3 linked regions of the Arabidopsis thaliana genome follow. The protein of the gene in region 1 interacts with the protein of each later gene in a pairwise test. Each region holds a gene or a part of one and is shown on either strand. Other genes may lie near its edges.

Region 1 (7,936 bases):
TTTTCATAATACACTGAGTCGATAACCCTTCCTGGTTTCCGGGATTTCTCATACTCATACAACTGAAGCAGCTTGTTGTCCATTTCATCGGCTACAATAGCTTGAAGCTGCAGATGGATAATATTAGAACATCACAAGGAAGGTAACATAATGTCGATAACATAAAAAAAATTGTCCTAAACCACTAGTGTGAGTAACACCTGCTTAACCAATCTGTAAATCAGTTTGTCCAACGTGAATAACACATATGATTGGTTTCCAATTATAGCTCTGCACTCATCCTCAAACTTGGTATTTTCAGCTGATCCATCTAGCAAACCATACAAAACCCTCATAAACCTGTACAACACACAGATCAGATTTTGATGGGAACAACATGTATATGATTATCTACATAGGCTAGTATAAAAAGTTGTACAAAGGAAGGTACCTCGCATAAGGATCTCCGGCATTGGTATCCTTTAAGTTTTTCGATTTCAGTTCACCGCCTGAGCAATTCCTTTTTGCATACAAAATTCTCTCGTACAGGATCTGAAAATGCACCACGTTATCTTTGCTAGAGAGAATCAATTTCAATAAATAATTAGGTAACTCACTTGGTGAAGCCTAAAAAGAACATAAAAGTCGTCATTCCCATAGAAAACTTGGAGATCTTTTGTTCTCTCATCGCATAAAACTGCTGCGACATGCTTTGAAAGGGGTCTGACGGATAAGAGAACACGTTCTGACTGTGGAAGCAGCTCACTTTCTCCTTCTAAGAGATGTGGATCCATTCCCTCCGCTTCTCCTTCACTCTCAGCTTTACCATCGATCTCATCATGCTCACCATTCTCCTCCTCTCTATCTTCGTCCTGAGAACATACGTCGCCACCAGATTCAGTTCCAGATGCCTCGGAAGCATTTTCACTATCAACATCGTCAGCATCGTCCTCATTCTCTACTTCAGCATCTGCCTCTACTTCAGCCTCTGCTGAATTCTCTGGTTTGGATGTGGACTTCACCCCATGATCTTTGTAAACACCAAAGTTGTCTTCAAAATCACCATTAGGTGACAGTTCACCTTCCTCTTTCTCATTTCTGGAGGGACCTTCGGGATCATCAGAATTCCTAGTACCTTTAGAAGAATCTGACCTTAATCCATTTGCCAAAACTATCGAATTGCCAACATCACCTCCCTAGTAATATGACAGAGTCAGAAGGGTCCGGAAAGCATAATTATAATATAAGACACATTTTAAATTTTTACACCCCTGGGTCCCATAGGTAGTACTGTAAATTTTTACATCCCTAAGCTATGGAAACCTCCAGGTAATAGTGGGTTTAGGCGAATATATAAATATGGTACAACGAGCAACTGAATGGTGTAAATATGGTACAACGAGCAATTGATTGTAGTACTAGTACCTGAGTCGAATGAACAGTTTCAATGCTATCTACATCATGATGAATATCAGTGAGGGTGTCGCTTGGTTTGGCTTGAATCTCATGTGCACCTTAATTGTAAAGTAACAAATATCAACACAAATAATCAAGCAGCACAAATAAAATTAAATAGCTTAAATCTGGAAGGCACCTGGCAAAACTTCCTTGCCTACTACACAATGATTGTTTTCTGCCCCACTTGGGATTGATATACTCGAGATGGCTGCTCTTTCGCTAATATCCATTGGGATAGGTTTTCCAAACCTTTTCTCGGCTTCATTTCCAGTTTCTTGTTCTTTCTGAGGTTTCACAGCAGAGCAGGCAACACCATCTCTGTTAGCTATTTCAACATCTTCAAGATTTTCTTTCCCTGTCGAATCTTTATTTAACAAACCTATCCCATGTTTGAATGTCCCAGATGAAGAATTCTCATCTCCATTGGCAGCAGATTTAAGTTTCCTAGAAGCCAACCTTGCTGTGTCTCCTCCAGAACTCACAGCAGCCTCCCCGTTAGGAGATGTGCTGTGATTCACATCGAGAGTCTTGGGGTTTATTACAACATCTTCAACAAGATCTGTGCCCTTGGCCCTGGGAGGAACACCCAGCACTGCCTCCAGGAAATTTTCCCAAAGCCTCAGAACTTTACTGAGCTGTTCTTTTGTAGAACATAACTCCTCACATGAAAACTGGACTACTTTGAACATGTCTTCATGAATAGCTCTGTTCAAATACTCATATTCAAGATTAGGATTTATAGGTTGTCTGTAACCAGCAGAAATAGACAACAGAACATCATCATCATTCTGAGACTTCTCTTTCAGCTCCTTAATTTCAGCCAACAATGCTGGTTCACGAAGCAATAAAAAAACAGAATGAGAAAGGAATAAGTGAAAGGAAAAATAGCACTGCCGGATGTATGTGAGCGATAAAACAGGATAAAGGAACTACTTGAATATAAATCTTCTTACGACTTCTATAAGTCTACTTACATTTTGCACTCAAGTTCTTTGAATCTTGTTGCTTGAAGTAGAAGCTGCGGTGATCAAGTGACTTGTAATGGTTTTTTGCATATACGTTCGCCCAGACCTTATCAAAATCGTCACGGCATTTCTTCCATTCACCTTGTTTCTGCTTTAAACGAGTTAGGATTACAGGAAGTGCAGTGGCTGGATTCTTATTTAATATGTCTATCACGTCAAGACCATGGTCGCCATAAAGTCGCTCAATACACCTTAAATTTAGGGCTGTAAATATGTCAATAAGAAAATGGTAAAGTTAATAACCAAACATATGAGGACACCTAAATAGGGGAAGAGAGAAGATATAACTACGAACTGTAAAATGGTCCCAAAAAAGCATACAGACCCGTAAAATGGTCTTCGATCCTGAAGGAGCCAGAAAAACTTATTTTCTTCTCTGTGATGATGTTCAACAAACTTTCTGCACTTCTGGCCGCAGAGCTCACAGATTCCAGCAACATGTCCAACTCAAATCTGTTATAAGCAGTAATTAACATAAATGACCAATTACTTCAAACTATAATATGTATGTTGTCAATATAAATACCTATCATCTTCGCATCTGAACAAGCTCTCTTCATATTGGTTTCTGCGCATGTGCTTAAAAGAATAATCTTCACTTCCGGAAGTGACAGATACCCAATGATCATTTAAAACCTCAGCTCCTAGCTCCGATCTCTGACTCGCAATTGGTATCGGATACTGCAAATATAATATTACAGTAAGTAAAAATCCAATGAACATGCTCAAAATGCAACTTGGAAATAGAAGCTTACATCCGCAGGCAGAAGCCGGTAGCTAGGAGTGCAACACTCGCAATCAGAGAGATCGAGCTCTTGAATAGATTTTCCCATGTACTCCTTCTTGCATTGCTCAGTTTCCTTCACAGCCTCGAGTTCAGGCTTGTGTTCACTTTCTTTCTCTTCCACCTTCATTGGCCTGGATAACTGTTCTTCGCTGCTAAATAATTCTGCCAAGTGTACCAGCAATGTCAGTAAAGATTTTACAAAGTAGGAGGGAAAGAGACAATATTATTCACAGCTGGGAAGTTTAAAATAGCAGCATACTTTTGCTCATAACACCAGCAAGACGCTGAAATCCATCTACAAAAAGAGGATGACCGTCAGAAAGAAGAAGATTGCTGATATGTAATAACTATTAAAATAACAATACGTATTTCAGTACCAGTAATACTCTCACACCGCTCGAAGAACTGGTTGAACTCATCCATCAGATCAGGAAATTTCCCAAGAAGATCAGAAACCTGAAAGAAAATGAATGGGATTTAATACAACTTCCTGAACGTTACCACAAGATCAACCCCTGATCACAAATTGCAATACCAAGTTTTGCAGATCCTTCCTTTGGATTATTCCATTGCTAAAAATATTGAGGCACTTCAAGAATGTCTGATAATCATCTTGGCTGCATAGTCTATCCTTGACTTTCTCACAGAAAACGAATGCTTGTTTGTACATACCTAACACAAAGTAAACATCTTAGAAAACAGAAGCAGATCTTCGCACCTTAAAGATCACCATGCAACCAAAATTGGAAAATAAATTCTCTCTCAAAGAGAAAGAATTAAGGTGTCCAATGTTTGGGACTCTTAAAAAATAGAAAAGGTACCAAGCAAATAAAAAAATGTTTGACACAGGAGTTAGCTTACTTTTCAAATTGTCTTTCTCAGAATGTGAAGCAGAACCAGAATATGCTTCAAGAGCTTCAGCTCTTCTGGACGACTTTCTTTTCTCTGGAAAATGGTGTAGGTTATCTTGACCTGCTTCTCTATCGTCCAAATCACGGCCTCTCCTTGCCCTGTTCTCCTTATCAAGGCGCTTCCGCTGCTCTCTTTGAATCTTCACCATCGTTTTATCATCATTAAGGTCATAACGTTCAACACTATAATCACCGCGGAGAGCAACAGCCCTTTCTCGTCGGCGTTCCTGGTGATAAAAAGTTGTAGCGGGAACAAAATTGAGATACGTGGCAAAAAATAGAACAAGGAAAAATATGAAACAAAGATCAAACGAACCTTTTCCACTTGCATTTGATGAAGTAGAGGAGGGTCTGATCCTCGGTCGCTGTACTGTTGAGCCTGACTCCGGCTATGCTGCGCTGCTGAATGAGATGGCAAAGACGCTGGCAAAAACCTAGTAAACTGTTCAAGCAAATCCAAGTGGCCTTGAAAAAGAATAGATACCTGGAGCATAGATATTCGAAGGTTAGAAAAAGTTTGGAGTGGCATTACAGGTGAGATGAAGTATATTACCTCGTTGTACACCTCTTTAATTTCCTTGTTCTCCTTTCGGTACATATTCAAGATTTCCAAGAAAGATTTATAGACATGTTCATCGTGCTTGAATCGCATCTGCAGTGAGAAAAAAGAAACTTGTACATTGAGACACAAGATGTAAGCGCACTTCAAAAGAGAAATATAAGACCAAGATTTCGACAGCACCTTAATTTTATTCACAAAATTGATGGCTTGTTCGAATTCAACAGTCTTCTTTGGCAGAGCGTCGTCTTCCTCAATAAGCGTAATTTCATATCCCTTAGGCAAAAAGGTGTTGAATCCATAAATCAAATTATTATGTCCCTTAAACAATTCCTTAACTCTTGCGATCACACCGCCTGTGTCGGTTCTGAAAATGCAAGACGAAGAATTAATACAATGCCGCCTACTAAAACTTACTTGAACTTTGAAGTCGATAGAGAGTGAAAGAGCTAACCTTTGAGCCTTAAAATCTTTCATAACCTCGAGGAACCTGTCATATTTCTCGCGTTGATCTTGAAACATCTCTTTTACTTCCCTCAGGTACGACAACGCATCATTGGTTGTCAATTTCTGAGAGACTCTCCGGCTCCCTCCTTCTTCTTCTTCTTCGGTGTCACCACTGCCGTGGACCGGAGATTGTCCACATCTGCACCAAATCATCTCTAATCGATTACTTAAAACTACTCAATTCATAACAAATATTTGTCACTCTCCATGCAGAATTATAGAAAACCTAATCGCCACAAAACAGAACCAAGATCAAAACCGAAATTTGAAGGGTGAATTTAGAGAAACTCACAATTGGCCTCGAGAAGAACCAAGAGGACGTCTAAATTGAGACCCAGAGGCATATACATCATCTCTTATCCGCTTCATCACAAGTTAATTAACGAAGCAGAGGATCAAAATTCCCTCCAGAGGAAAAATATGTATGAGACCTACTTTCTATCACTCTCGAGAAAACATATGTAGTAGATGAAATCAGATACTCAGATCTCTCAAAGGAGAACAGAATCGTTAAGAAGCGCTTTGATCACCGGCAATCATACATAGACAGAGGAAAATTCCGGCGAGACTCCAAATTCTCCGGTTTAACACACTAGACTGAATATGAATTGCGATGATACTGATAGGAGACGAGAAGTAGTAGAACGCAGAGTCGAAAACGAATGAAGAAGACGGAGAATTTCAGAGGAGTTTGCAACAAAGACGCTGAGAATTTTCGAATAAGGAAGGAGAAAAAGGCGGAGAGAGATTTTGCATTCTGGGGTCTCTTCGATGTTTCACTTTCTCTGTGTGTTTGCTGCTAACTACTGGTAAATTGGTAACTTATCTTTTATTCTACTTCAATTTGGGCCGGACACTCAAATATCTATTGGGCTTTTTAAAATAATAGGCCCATTTATCAAGAACTCTGTTTGGTCGGAAAAAATTGTGATGAATTTTTCATATAACAAGAAAATATATGTACAGATTTGCGTCAAGCATTGAACAAAATTAAGCACGAGCCGAAGAACCGATACATTGTCGGAAAAGTGATGATAAACCACAAGCGAGTTTGTTTCGTGTAGAAGATGAGATGTCTGGTCCTCTACGTATTTCAGAAAAGTATGGAGGTGGTGATGAAGAAGATGACGAAGAACTTGATTTCTGTGATGGATTTTTATCTTCAAGATCATTACTATTTCTTCCGGTTTGTTCTAGATGATTTTGAAGAATTGCTCCATTTTTTTGATCTAAGATGAATTGATCACTCCAAATACGACCCGAAGAACCTTGACGTCGGAACGAAACAGCTGATCTTTGTAGCGATGTCATTACTTAAGTTTTGAATCTTGTTACGATTATATCTTCTTTAATACCAAACTTATTTTATTCTATCAATTTTGTTGTGTGTTTGTTTCTTTTGCGTATGTATGAAGCTATTGTTTCAAGTGTTTGAACTTGTTTAAAGATAAAATGAACAGAATTAGTTGAGTTTGAAATTAGATTTTATCCAGTTTTGGATTTACTACAAAACATGCTAAATTAAGCTTAAAAGTTTATATCTACTCCCCAAAAAAAGGATATAAATTTTGATCTTGTCTTCCATTAAAATAGGATCCAATGACTTCAAGCCTTAAATAGATGTAGATTTTCTTACAAATTATTTTGTTCCAAGTACATATTTTTTTTTAAAATTAATATTTTGTTTTTTCTTGAATCAAACCAAAAATGAGAAGTTGTAAATTTTCAGTCAAGCCCATCCATATAAGCTAATTGAGTATTGGTTTGGGGTTTTTATGGGTCAAAAGAGGTTTATTATAATGGGCCTTATGAAGCTCATATACGACCCATAAGCGTTAGGGTTTTCCTCGAGAAACCTAAGAATCGCCGCCATTGGGGACCTTTATATACAAACCACACATGACTTTGACAGACATCAAGCTCTTATCAAGTCAGTTTAGGGTTCTCTGTTCAAGTTCGTATTTTATCTTCAGTTTAGTTTTCTTTAGATCTTTGGTTTTCGAGTTATGATGTATTGGTCCGTATAGATAATGCAAAATTGAGATCAGGTGATGAGGTAATACTGCAACAATATGATGGAGTAATCTTTGTGATTATTAGTATTTAAGTCTCTGATGATCTTAATCGTTTTCAACTAGATCTTTTTCGATTTGATTTTCTTCTGTTTTGATTGTTTTGTTTGAAACGAGAGATATGATGATCAACAAATTGGTCCGTGTTTCAGATTAACCGTGACCGAAAAAATTCTTAACCAAACTCTGATCTCTCTTCTTTTCTTTCGATTTTTTAGTATTTTCCTTCAAATTTCGTTTTGGATAATTTCTTCTTCTGCGGTGATGATTTTATGAGAAATTCACATGTCAGACTTCAGAGATTCTTGTAATCTATGAGAATAAATTCATATATCTGAGCAGAAGATTCGAATTATAAAAGACTCACACATATACATTGACCGTTTACAGAGATGGAATCATAGAAACAAATAGAACAGTTTGATTTATTTAACCAAATAGTTCAATTAATGGAAGAGGTTCAGAATCTGGTCTTCGGAGTTGTCATACTATTTAGAAATCTGGTCTTATAATCTGAACAATCCTAATCCCACGGTTCAACAAACTTTTGACATGGATCAAACATATAACAAACCATTAACGATAAAAGACTCAAATCAAGCGAATTAAAAAACAAGACTCAGGTCAACAAACCATAT
Region 2 (5,025 bases), 7.4 Mb from region 1:
TAAGTAATAGTAGAGGAGATTACCATTCTTTCACCCTTTTTATCAGGGGGGTACATCTTTGCTTTTCTATTTGGTGTGTGGGAGTTCTTTGTAGAGCCACCTCGTTGTGAAGCCTCAGCCAATGCTAATGCTATCTCATGTTCCATATCATCATCAGTATCATCCCCCTTCTGATTTAAACCTCTCTTAACAGGTGATAAATATCTTTCCCTAGTATCCTTCTCAAGGGTGTATGAGATAGGAATTCTAGGAGTCCTTTTTCCAACAGCACGAGGCATAGTCTCTTGGCACATGCAAATTACGATTAATAGAAAAGTTAGCAACTATTAGATCGTTTCCATTAGACAGATAGTTAATGATCCAATAAAATTCCGGGAGGGAAGATCATTTTTATCCCACTATATACATTTAGGGAGGGTACTAACTTGAGTTGCATCATCTCAAGATACTGTTTTCAATAAATTTAGTGTACAAGATAGGTGCTAGTAAAATAAAGGAAAGAGCAGTTCTATCTAAGCTGATTCTGCAAGGCATCAACAACATGCAACACCAGCAAGACTGCAATAGTTGAGAAAAACAAAATTTGCACGAAGCAAAGACTCATGCATATATATAACTGTATGTGCTCACGCAACTCATGCTTGTGAAATGGGGAACAGATTTTGAGGCAAAGAGAAACAGAGAACACTACCAGTACGTCTCTTCTTCAGCGATGGCATGAAGCCTGAGGAGGACCTAAATTGTAAGCGGTCAGACAGACCCTCTAGTCCTATAGAGGGATGATCTGAGGATTTTACTCTAGAGCGCTTAGGGGCTGACCTCGGAGTTTCAATGCCTTCATTATTTTCCTGCTCACTGTCACTTCCTCCATGCTAGAGAAGAGATAGACTCGTTACATAATAATATGAAACCAAACCCCATACTACCAAATTATATTCCTTCGCAACAGAAATGGAAATACTTAACTAACAAGGCTCAACAACAATCAACGTCACTAACGTCCGCAAAAAATCACAAAGTTAGCTGGCCATGTTTCTAAGATATGCATAATGCTTAACAAAGAAACACTAAACCAAACGAATGTTAGAATTTATCTTTCCTGAGCTAAACTATATTTTCAAGTGAAAAAATCTGAACAAACAAGAGTGCTAAACCCCTAGGTGGAACAAACTTAAGTTGGCAGATGTTCCATAGAAACGGGTGGAAGACATGTACAATTGTTTTGAGTTTCAAATGGAAGTAAGTATGCTGAACTGGACCAAGTGCGTGTTAGTTATAACATATTTGAACGGTTTCAAACTTTTACCAGAACAGAGTAGTGATCCGTCATCATTGCAGTTAGGCCAACCACAGATGCAGTGCCTTCCGGAAGAGACAAGTAAGCCTAAAGTACAGATGGCATAATATAAGTGGAAAATGTTTAGACAAAGATCACAATACAAATCAAGGAGGAGAACATGCTGACCTTATTCATAGTGTATAAGGCCTCTACCATTTCTGCAGAACGGCTATGTACAAATCCAGCAACCTACAACCATAGATGAAAAAACACCATAAATATTGCTGGTTCTGCAAACCAAAGTGATTATAAAAATGACATTCCCATACCCATAACATTTGGCGGAAACTATGGCAGCAATTTATTACCCTTCTTTTGGAATAATGTAATGTTTTACTACAAATCATATACCAAATCGTAAATAATGTCTATTTTGCTAATTGAACTAACCTTTTTCCATTCTTTTCCGAATTTGCGGTATCCTTCATAAAAGCGCTCTAACTCTTCCTTGCTCCACTGAGGACCTAACATGTCCGACAACTTCCTCTTCTGCAAGTAAGGAGCACTATAAGATATGCTTGGAGACCAGCTGATAAAATTGGTCGCAGAATAACAACAAACAAATTTGCTCGCACATTGGAGACAAGGGTAAAACAATGTCTCCTCCTTGAAATAGGAATTGAAACAAAAACAACAACTTAAACGTAGAAAATATTTGAGTAAATGTTGAAACAAGAACAAAGAAAGGTTATTACTTGGATCAATCAAGAAACAAAAAGTCTAGCAAATAACTAGGTATATCCTTCTACAGCGAAACTATGCTAAATTTCCCAATCAAATCTCAGGCTGAGCAATACATAACCCTACCTAAAGTTGAGGTCATCCAGTAAAACATTAGGAAAAAAGCTTACCCGTTGTTTAGTTTTGCTCATACTTTCTTCGTCTTTGTGAGGAGAAACAGCTTTAGCACGAGGCTTCTTCTTGTACTTAGATTTCTTTGATCTTGAGGGCGCCATAAGTTAAAGCTCTTCTGTTACCTGAAACATTCCCAAAATTGAACCCAAGTTTAGATTTTACCAAGATACAACAAACACAATAAATCATAAGCTCAATCCTTGATAGATACATCTATTTATCAGTTAATCATCTCCAAAGAAACTGACTACCAGTACTAATGAAACTAAAGTCTACATGCAAAACCCACCTCATACCAAAAAAGTGTGCTCATTATCAGTATCAACCCTACTTTCGCTCAATAGAATATGAAACCCAGAGAAGTTTAAGAAACAACTTGTCCAAATTAGAAAATCAATCTCCTTAAGCAACTCCAGCTAGTGAAATTTATGCGAATTCAAATCACAAGACCTGACACCCATCGATTTTGAGCTTCGAATTTCAAAATCCAAAGCTCAATAATCAGTGCGCAGATTCCCCAGAACCAAATTTTAAACTCACAAACTTCGCACCTAATCCAAAAAACTTTCCTACCGAATAAAAAACGAAAATTGCAGGACGAACGATTAAAAAAGCTCAAATTATTTGAAAATTCGATGAGAACAAATCAGAATTAAAAAAAAAAAAAAAAAGAGAAGATTGAAAGAGCTTACCTACACAAATCCAAAATCACTCGGAAGCCATCGCCGGGACTTGAAGAAGAAATTACAGAGAGAAATTAGAGAAATCCGGTAAGAGATCGGAATATGAACAGATCAGAGCTTCTTCGGGTTTTTTGAGCGATCGAAAGAGAGATTGAGGAAGATGAAGAAGCAGCAAAAACAAGAGATTGAAACAATTTTTGGGGATATAACCGCGAAAACTTTAAAATAAAAAGAAAAATAAATATTAGAAGAATCCGATAAAATGTAATTTTTCGTTATACAACTTTTGTTGCAGAGAGTCTCTCTATATAAATAATTTGCGAAGATTCAATCATTTTTTTAAAACAAACCTACAAATTAAATCCAATTCGGTTCGGTTCGCCTTTATAAATTGGATTTGGATTGGTTAAACCAAATTTAAACCACACAGTTCGAATCCAATGCGGTTTAATTCTGGTTTGTAATAGTCAAGTTGAATTTTATTATAGTCCTTTATAGGGGTTTTCGAAATAGACTGAAGCAACAACACCATGTCTTTCGCTTACTCAATGGTTATGTTAAAAAGCTCACTTCCTAGAGAAACCTCATGGTTCTCACTGATGACATTAAGGTAAATCGTCTCAAGCTCGGTCACGACCACATCCATCTTTGGGCGATTTATCGGGGGATATTCCAAGCATTCCGACGTAATTATCAGATAAGCTTGGAACGATGGTCTCGTGAATGTTTCTGCAGGTATATTCTTATCCCAAAATGTGTTTGTAAAAAGTCTCGGACTTATCTACAAATCACAAATAAATTTCCAAACAATATATTTTTAAGTACATACAATTAACAAACAAAAAAAAGTTGTAAATGGAGAAAGAGAGGGTTTTTTTTTCTATTACGTACCCATTGTAAAACTTCATAGTCTGATTGTAACAGTCCAGGGTTTTGACAGGTGATAAGCTCTAGAAGGAACAACCCGAAGCTATACACATCAATTGTCTCCTCTGAACCACCTCTATAGAAAATATTCATAAGAACATATTTGTTAGGACTTTGAAGGAATGATGTAACTTATATGATCATAAGTGAATTAATTAATACCTTGGATTAGCGAGATGAATATCACTTGCTTGAAGCAGTCCCAACATTGCCCCATCTGATACCTTGGCATTGAGGTTGGCATCGAGCAAAACTTTACTCGCCGTAAATCTCTTGTGTTGTACTGGAGGATCTAAGTTGTGCAAGTGTAGTAACCCTGAATTGAAAAACAGAGAGACTTTAATATTAGTTTTTAGAACAATCAATGTGAGTTTTGGATCATCCATTTTGATTTACCTTTGGCTGCATCAAGAGCTATAGATATTCTTTTCTTGAACGTTAAGTCGCTAGACTCTACTCAATAACCAAAAAGAGAGATGATCACATAAAAATGATGTATGGATCAAATTTCAAGAGTTTACTATAATGCATTACTTACCACCTAGATAATCTCGGACGCTACCGTTGACCATATACTCAAAGACGAGCGATTGGTTCTCGTCGTCGCAACAATAACCGAGCAGATTAACCAAATTTTTATGTTGGATGTAAGAAACCTGAGACACATACAACAATATGTCACAAATACATAAATTATTTTCAATGAAATCACCAATTTTTTGTTTGTGTGTACCTCATCCAAGAATCTAGGTTGGGGACTACACCACTCCCTTTTGATCACAACGGGCATGTCCTTGATCAGCCCAGTGTAAACTGTTCCGTGACTTCCATGCCCAATAGTATTATCCATGTCAAAATTGTTCGTTGCTTGCCTTAATTCCTCCATCGAGTACTCGATCAGGCGTTGTGGCGTCACTTGTAGACGTGAATTACAAGAGCATCAAAAGATGTAATTACTTTCATGATCAGCACATTAACTAATATGTTTAAATTAAATAATAAACCCAATAAAACTTAATATTTGTATATAGAAAAGACACATTTAAAAGACTTGTAAAAAACTTTTCTTTGTCTTTTTATTACATCAAATGTATTAAAAACACTAAGTGTGGTTATAATGTCAAGATTAGACTTACCGGTTGAACTCTTGAGGGAGTTTTTGCCACACAGTAATATGGAAATCCAGAAAAGAGCGATTAGAATCGCTATGATCGCAATTGG
Region 3 (7,052 bases), on another chromosome or scaffold:
TCAATAAAATAATTTTAAGAAGTCATTTTTGAAAATTCTATGTAAACATATTATCTCATCATATCATAAATTAACAATTGTTAAACTTATTGCTATATATACAACTTAATATTTATAATATATAATAGTATTTTATATATGACATCATATATATATATATATTATATGTAAAAACTTTAGTGTAGTATGACTTAATATTGTTTGTTTTTCTTAAGTTAATATTAATTCTGGTAGAGTTCATTTCAAATATGCTTACTACATGTAAAAAAGTTTATGTTGTTTTTTTATTCTAAACTTATTATTGTTTTTCTACTTGTAACTGTTTTAGAAATATATTGATTGTAAAGAAAAAATTGTTTTTTAGATATTATTTTTTTAATTACAAAATTAGTAAACCTCACTATAAATTAATAATTATTAAAATTATCGATAAATTAATATATTTATGAATATATAGAATTTTTCGTTTCTAATATTATTAATTTGTAGAGGTTTTATCGTAATTGTTTTTGGTAAAATGATTTAACCTCTTAATTAATCTCCTTATACCATTTACAAGTCTACTTCATGCAGTTTTCAACAACTGTCATAATTTGTGTTTAACAATATTATAAGAAACAACTTTTAAAAAAATTAAACCAACTAGGCATTTGGTTGAAAACAATTACAAAAAAAAAAATCAACTCAACTGTTTCATCACCAAGCACAAAGCTCCATTTGCCTTCTACAACAAAACCTAGATTAATGGAGACATACTATAAACCCCAAACTCAACACGATACCATAAAAATACAAAAACAAAAACAAAAAACAAAAGATGGGACATTGTCGCTGTTTAGAACCAGAAACTTATTTTTCCTACAACTATGACAGAATCAAACACAAAACTGTACTTCTCTCTCTCTCTCTCTCTCTCTCTTTCTCTTCTTCTTCTCCTACTCTTGGTCTCAGCATATTAATAAAACTGGCTATGACTTTGGCTTTTACCCTTTCCCTTTTTCCTTCCATATCAGCTTGAAACTCTCGGCTCTTCACGAACATTCTTACCCTCTCCTTCTAACTCTGTAACTCCTAAAACATCACTGGCGTCTTGAGCCACCACGCCCGAACACTGTCCTATTGCTCTTTTTCGACTCTCTTCTTTCTCCACCGCAACAGCTTCAACATCTTCTTTATTGTATGGATCACTGTTCAGGTCTATTCTCGCTGTGTTCACTTCCTTCTCCTCCTTACTCTTATCAGACTCAGCCAGTTCCATGTCCTTCTTCTTCTTATCTTCTGCTGCTGTTACATCGCGCTCCAACTGCTTCTTCTTCCTCCTCATCATAAGCGTCTTGAACCTTCTCTTCACGGTGCTACACACAGTGCAGCCACATGTAGGCTTGTGCCTACCTTTCCCACTTGGTGGCTGAATGCACACGATGCAAGAGCATCCAGCCCTGTGCCTTGGATGTCTGGTCGTGGTCGCTACCTCTGGCTCGCCTATTGTGTCTCCTAAGACTGCTGCACTCGCCAGTGCGTCCAAACCACACGGTTCTTGCTGACTTTTTGCTGCCTGGCTTTCCCCAGTTCTTCTCTTCTTGTGCTCTATATATATATGCATACAGTTAGTGTCTTGAGATTCTCAATAAGCTGAGATTATGAAAAGTAAGCTGCGTTCAGAAACAAATTTGCAGGATACCAAGCAAACAATCCATATTTTGATAAAATTCTAACATAAGGAAGGCGCAACATGCACAAATAACAGATACATATCCTGAATGTTTTATATGAACGCCAAACCATAAATTGCTCAGAAGTCACAACTACTTGGAAGCAGTCTAGATAATGAGAAAGAACCATGAGAGGCCAGGAAATAAAAGATTTCATACCTCTTCCTACTTTAAGAACATTCTCAAGTTCCTTCAGACTCTCCTCCGGTGCAGAACATGAACACCTATCAATGAATATATTATTAATTACAGTGACAGGACACTAGGGAGAAAAAAAAAAACTCTAAATGATCTTCGATTTAAGCGATCATGAGATTAAAGAAAAGACTTGTGAAAGTTCTTACCTACTCACATCCCAAACATTGTCTATACATGTCCATTTAAAGGAAAGAAGAGCATCTACAGGTAACCTTCTCCATTTAGAGCAGTCGTCGCAAGTTGCCCATCGTTCCTGTTCACTGGACCACAAAGAAATTTGTTAGTAAATCATTTGCAAGTATGGAAGTAAACTATAGGAGAAGATACGTTGCCATTCATTTTATTTTTTTACTTGAGAAGTGAAAGAAATAACTAACCCTGAAGGTTTTGTAGTGACTATAGTCCTCTTTCCAAAGACAGGAGGTTCCTGTGTATAACATTAACATGAACTATGACTTAACCAAGGATCAAGTTAAGGGTTAATCAAATGGTTGTAAAAAACAACATGATCTACCACGTACGTCATATTCTTCAATTTCTTGCTCCTCAATGACAACGATGGTAGGCTTTACACTAGGAGAGGGACGAAGCAAGTCCTGAGCTTCTTCCCAAGTGAGTCTCAGCTCCATAGATTCTTCACTATGCAAAAGAAGTCTCTTATTTTTTGCACCAATGGTTCGAGTTCTCTTCTTCTCTTTAACTCGTGTAGGATCATCACCTATCCTGCCCCCGTTAGTCTCACTGTTCAAATTCTCAGGCATACCATTCAACTCTTTCGGTATTAGTGAAATACACGAGGAACCATTTATGGAGGGTGGGTTTTCTGTTACACCAGACGATGATGTGTCCTCAGTTGATGTTCCGTTGGTGAGCCCACAACCCTATTTATAAATATTGTAACCGGATAAGAATGGAGCTAAGCAGAAAATAAAAACCAGCACATTCCTACAGAAACCAGTTCATAGAAACCCCAACCTGCATGTCTCCAGCATTAGCTGCCTTCCTGGAACCCATGATTAGTTTTCCGCCAGGATCAACCCGACTGAAAGTTACTGTAGAGGTGAAAAACACAGAAAACCAACAATAGTTTTAGAAAATGGTTCATGAAAATTTGATGTTAAAACCAGCAAATGCTTGAAGCTTTAGCTAAGACATGAACTATATTAAAAGTACCTGTATCACCAGCCTGTAGCATCATGGACTGTATGCATGGAGTGACACCTTCTAAAACATACATTCTACTATTGTTATTGGGCCAATATCTGAACTGGAACGTCCACTCCCTACCCCTCACATCTTGGATTTTCAAAGGAATGCCTTCGGATTGACTAATCGGAGGAAAATATGCCTATATACCAATGCAGACATCAGTCATAACTCTACAAAATATTTCAAGGACAAGAAAAGACATCACCATAGGAATGGGAAATTTACCTCTGCACAGGCTTTTGGAAGAACTAGACGACCAATGCGACCAGCATCACTGGCACTAAGAGTTTTCTCAAAGAGAGGTACAATGTTCAAATTCAAACTAGAATTTGTTAAGATAAACAATGAGTCACCAGAAGTCTGTCCAGAATAAAATATTTGGCAAAAGTACTAGAAGCAAATAAAGGATACTTTCCAGAGATCTGCTGAACCTCTTTATCCGTATATTTTGGCCAATACCGCGGAAGCAAGTGGCCTCTCCCTCGCCCTTCGACAGGAGGCCTTCCAATCCGCGCCTGAGCGGATTTACTAGCCACAGGAGGAGTTGAAATAGCAGGTCTTGATGGCTTTTGCAGTATATTAGAAGCAGAGCAATGGACCATGTTGGACTGAGAAGGACTGATGTGTTTCATTCCCTCGACAGCCTCGGTTGCAAAAGATGGGCTAAACGGATTCACAGCCAAACCCATATTTAAAGATGGCTGTAAAGGTGATGATTCATGCATTTCCCCAGCAGCATCCAGCCTATGCCCGGTGGTTGTACTTTCTGGACTCATTAGCTTACCAAACCCACGGTGAGGCATGAACTCTTCCCTTTTATCTCCGCCCATGACTAGTGGCTGAGAAAAGAGATCGCCTTCGTTTCTTCCTCCGCTTTCGCCATTTACATGTTGCCTATCAGCTAACGTTTTCATTGGCAATCTGCTAAAAACACCTGGATTCTCACCCCTTGTGTTCTGAAAAACGTGAAGACAGAATCCTTACAACAACAACTTACATATAATATACTCGAATACGCTGAACCGAGTCTAGTAAAAACTCACCAAATTGAGTTGATGGCAGCAAGCACATGTACTACAACCAACACCACCATAGTCCATTAACTCAATCGTTACCTTAGAAGCAATGCATCCACAATGTAGTCTCTGTCATCACAGAATCTCAATCAGAACAACAAAACATCACCACTAAACTCTATATATAGAAAAAACAAACATATTCACACAGTTTCAAAAAACGCACCTTGCTACACAAATAGCATTCCCTCCAACCAGATTGGTCCTTATGAAATTGTTCACAGAATAGAGAACTCTCATACGCAGATCTATAACAAAATCATTACAACCAAAGTCTCAATTTTTTTCCTTTTATGTACCAAAGTCACATATTTTTTCCCTATTTATAGATTAAAAGAGTCAAGATTCGCACTAAGAAACCATATACGTAGTCAAAAAAACAGAACATGAACAAACTAAGAGCTAAACAGAGAATCAAGAAGAGGGTCACGAAAAGATCGAGACTTTAGTCAAAAATCAAACGAAATTTGGAGTTTAGAATAGGAAATTAGAGAGATTGAGAAATACCCGCAACGATAACAGAGATCAGCGAGAAGACCAGATCGAAGAGGCCAACCTTTCTTCCATTCAACAGTAGAAGTCGTACCACATGAAGCGTTCATGCACATCTTTGACCCCATTTTGACTTCAAACATCACAAACTCCAAACCCCAATTCCAAAATCTTAAAACCCTAACACCACACAAAGAGCTAGAACAACGAATCGGATACGAAATCGACGTGAATTGATGAAATTGAAGGATTGAGGAAGAGACTAGTCATGAACATGCATCGACGTTGGTCAAAATCAAAGGTTCGTGTGTAGAGAGATCAGAGGATTGGTGAAGGACCGGCGGGGGAAGAGAAAGAGAAGATTTTGACGGCGAATTGAAGAAAGAAAGAGGACTGTAACGGCGAAGAAGAAGGCAACGAGGTTTTTTTTTTTTGGGTGAATTTTTTTTTTTGTTTCAATTTAATTTATCGATGTGAAAAATTAAAACTTTTATGGGTGAGATAGAGAGAGAAAGAGGGAGAGAGCATGCAAGTGAACGAAACGCATAAAATGCATGCACGACACTTGAAGACACACACAAAACTCGAAAAGTAAGAAAACTCGCAGAGATTTAGAACAGACACAAAGTGAAAGACTTTGGTTTTTTTTTGACTTTGTTAAGATATGTTTTTTTGGTATATAATATATATAGAAATGAAATTTAGGGTTGGTAGGAATCATATATTTTGGAAAAAAAATAGTATGGTGACGTAATTTTAATATTTGGTTATATGTATTCAACTAATTTATAGGTATTTTCCTTTCTACAGTTGGGGTATTATTTATATAAGGAAATATTGATTATTTCATCAAGAAAAGAAAGAATTATTCAATAGAAACATATATGTTTCTTTTTGCAAATCATAAATATATAGAGTGCATGCATGACACTAACACACACATGCACAAAAGACTTTGAGGTTCTTCTTTTTCTCTTTTGACTTTCTTGGTTTGTTATTGTCAATTACTCTAAGAAATCATTTTAATTTAAGTTTGTAAAAGTTATAAAAATTATCCTAAGAAAAGAAAATAATAGTACATAAATTCTACTTATCTAATTAAAGATTATAATAGAAATTTGCGATCGCGTACATGTATATGCTATATACTCTACCTGTCGTCATTCTCTGTATATGTATTCTAACCAAATTTGAGTTCCGAATACCCTAAAACTTAGAGTGGATTGAGACCGATAGATAAGTAAAAATTGACGATTCATATCAAACATGTAGTCTTATGGTAGAATATATATTCCAAAATAAGATACCAAATTTATAGAGAACTTGCAAACGAAATGGGAAGAATTGGTGGAATATAAACTAAAAATTCATTCTTGCTTAAATTGAATTTTTTTTTCCTACACTGAAGAAAATACCATCGACAAAAAGAAATATGCAAAAAATCAACACAATATATTTTGTAGGATTTGTTTATTTTTTGTTAATACTTTTGAAGGATTTGTAGTTAATTGAATATATATATATATATATAATATATTATGTTTTTTTTTTTGCCATTTTACTACATTTAACCATAACCTTGCTATTTATGGAGTCCAATAGTCCATGCGCATGATAAACATACAGTATAAGTGTTCACACGATTTTATATATGCATGTGATTTTCTGTCAAATAACACGTTACTACCCAAGAATATATCATCTATTTGTTCTAACTTTTACTCATGCATGCTCTATTCACTTCGTATTTCCCATTAAATCTTTAATCTTTTCTATCTAATTAGTTCAAATTTAAATCTAACTAAAATGACACCATATCTTTTGGAATCGCTCTCTTTTGGGTGGAATCTTCTATATTATCAACGAGCTACTATTAAGTTACTACGTTTTTTCACTCCCTTTTTTGACCTTATATATAGCTAGGCTTGTAACACCTATCGAGTAATTGACTACTGTTGGAACGAGTAAAAAACTTATAAGTTTTAACTCAGTGTAAAATGTCGCCGTCTGGTAAAAAGAGTGGTATTCTATGTATTATCCTAAATTTCATTATACACTTATGGAATTTTCTTGTTGACAGCAAAATATATAGACATAATCCTTTTTTGGATTTTTGCATATTTTCATATGTGGAAATAATCTTTTACCATGCAAAAGAGATATATAATCAACTTAGGGCCACTTTGCCCTTATCCTTGTAATAAATAGTTTTATTTTTCCCCCATAATTTAATTCATGAAACTGACTTGGATAGTCCGAACCACTAGATTAGATTCGCATCATACAAGTACAACTGGATTATAAAACTGAAATAGAAATTCAACTATAAAATTCAAAGCACGTAATGAACTTCTTCTTTTTTCAC

The links. Proteins that work in one complex are often made in the same cells at the same time.
Region 2: the proteins of SNL1 (region 1) and ALY3 interact in a two-hybrid assay, tested with the Arabidopsis thaliana proteins (one study listed by BioGRID).
Region 3: the proteins of SNL1 (region 1) and HSI2 interact in a two-hybrid assay, tested with the Arabidopsis thaliana proteins (one study listed by BioGRID).

What each region holds. Positions count from the first base shown.
Region 1 is NC_003074.8:104,389-112,324, reverse strand, and holds the start of SNL1 (SIN3-like 1), read right to left. Parts: upstream 6,032-7,936; 5' UTR 6,030-6,031; coding exon of another isoform or gene 5,889-6,029; 5' UTR 5,596-5,888; coding exon 5,519-5,595; intron 5,366-5,518; coding exon 5,174-5,365; intron 5,087-5,173; coding exon 4,903-5,086; intron 4,813-4,902; coding exon 4,714-4,812; intron 4,645-4,713; coding exon 4,477-4,644; intron 4,388-4,476; coding exon 4,111-4,387; intron 3,922-4,110; coding exon 3,785-3,921; intron 3,706-3,784; coding exon 3,627-3,705; intron 3,545-3,626; coding exon 3,509-3,544; intron 3,412-3,508; coding exon 3,218-3,411; intron 3,144-3,217; coding exon 2,989-3,143; intron 2,916-2,988; coding exon 2,788-2,915; intron 2,667-2,787; coding exon 2,412-2,666; intron 2,267-2,411; coding exon 1,574-2,266; intron 1,494-1,573; coding exon 1,405-1,493; intron 1,176-1,404; coding exon 597-1,175; intron 532-596; coding exon 431-531; intron 340-430; coding exon 201-339; intron 108-200; and 1 more. Other genes in the region: AT3G01319 (uncharacterized protein), read left to right, coding at 5,889-6,029. UniProt on the Arabidopsis thaliana protein: Acts as a transcriptional repressor. A histone deacetylase (HDAC) activity is required for transcription repression. May play a role in telomere stability.
Region 2 is NC_003074.8:7,550,547-7,555,571, forward strand, and holds the start of ALY3 (DNA binding protein), read right to left. Parts: upstream 3,034-5,025; 5' UTR 2,887-3,033; intron 2,317-2,886; 5' UTR 2,296-2,316; coding exon 2,191-2,295; intron 1,829-2,190; coding exon 1,730-1,828; intron 1,529-1,729; coding exon 1,466-1,528; intron 1,385-1,465; coding exon 1,307-1,384; intron 873-1,306; coding exon 692-872; intron 284-691; coding exon 24-283; intron 1-23. Other genes in the region: AT3G21450 (Protein kinase superfamily protein), read right to left, coding at 3,419-3,619, 3,769-3,880, 3,967-4,120, 4,201-4,257, 4,346-4,460, 4,517-4,690.
Region 3 is NC_003071.7:12,979,895-12,986,946, forward strand, and holds HSI2 (B3 domain-containing transcription repressor VAL1), read right to left. Parts: upstream 5,384-7,052; 5' UTR 4,831-5,383; coding exon 4,703-4,830; intron 4,444-4,702; coding exon 4,362-4,443; intron 4,265-4,361; coding exon 4,163-4,264; intron 4,076-4,162; coding exon 3,531-4,075; intron 3,442-3,530; coding exon 3,345-3,441; intron 3,259-3,344; coding exon 3,084-3,258; intron 2,963-3,083; coding exon 2,886-2,962; intron 2,792-2,885; coding exon 2,432-2,791; intron 2,338-2,431; coding exon 2,288-2,337; intron 2,171-2,287; coding exon 2,057-2,170; intron 1,937-2,056; coding exon 1,872-1,936; intron 1,588-1,871; coding exon 1,010-1,587; 3' UTR 534-1,009; downstream 1-533. UniProt on the Arabidopsis thaliana protein: Transcriptional repressor of gene expression involved in embryonic pathways, such as LEC1, ABI3, and FUS3. Repressor of the sugar-inducible genes involved in the seed maturation program in seedlings.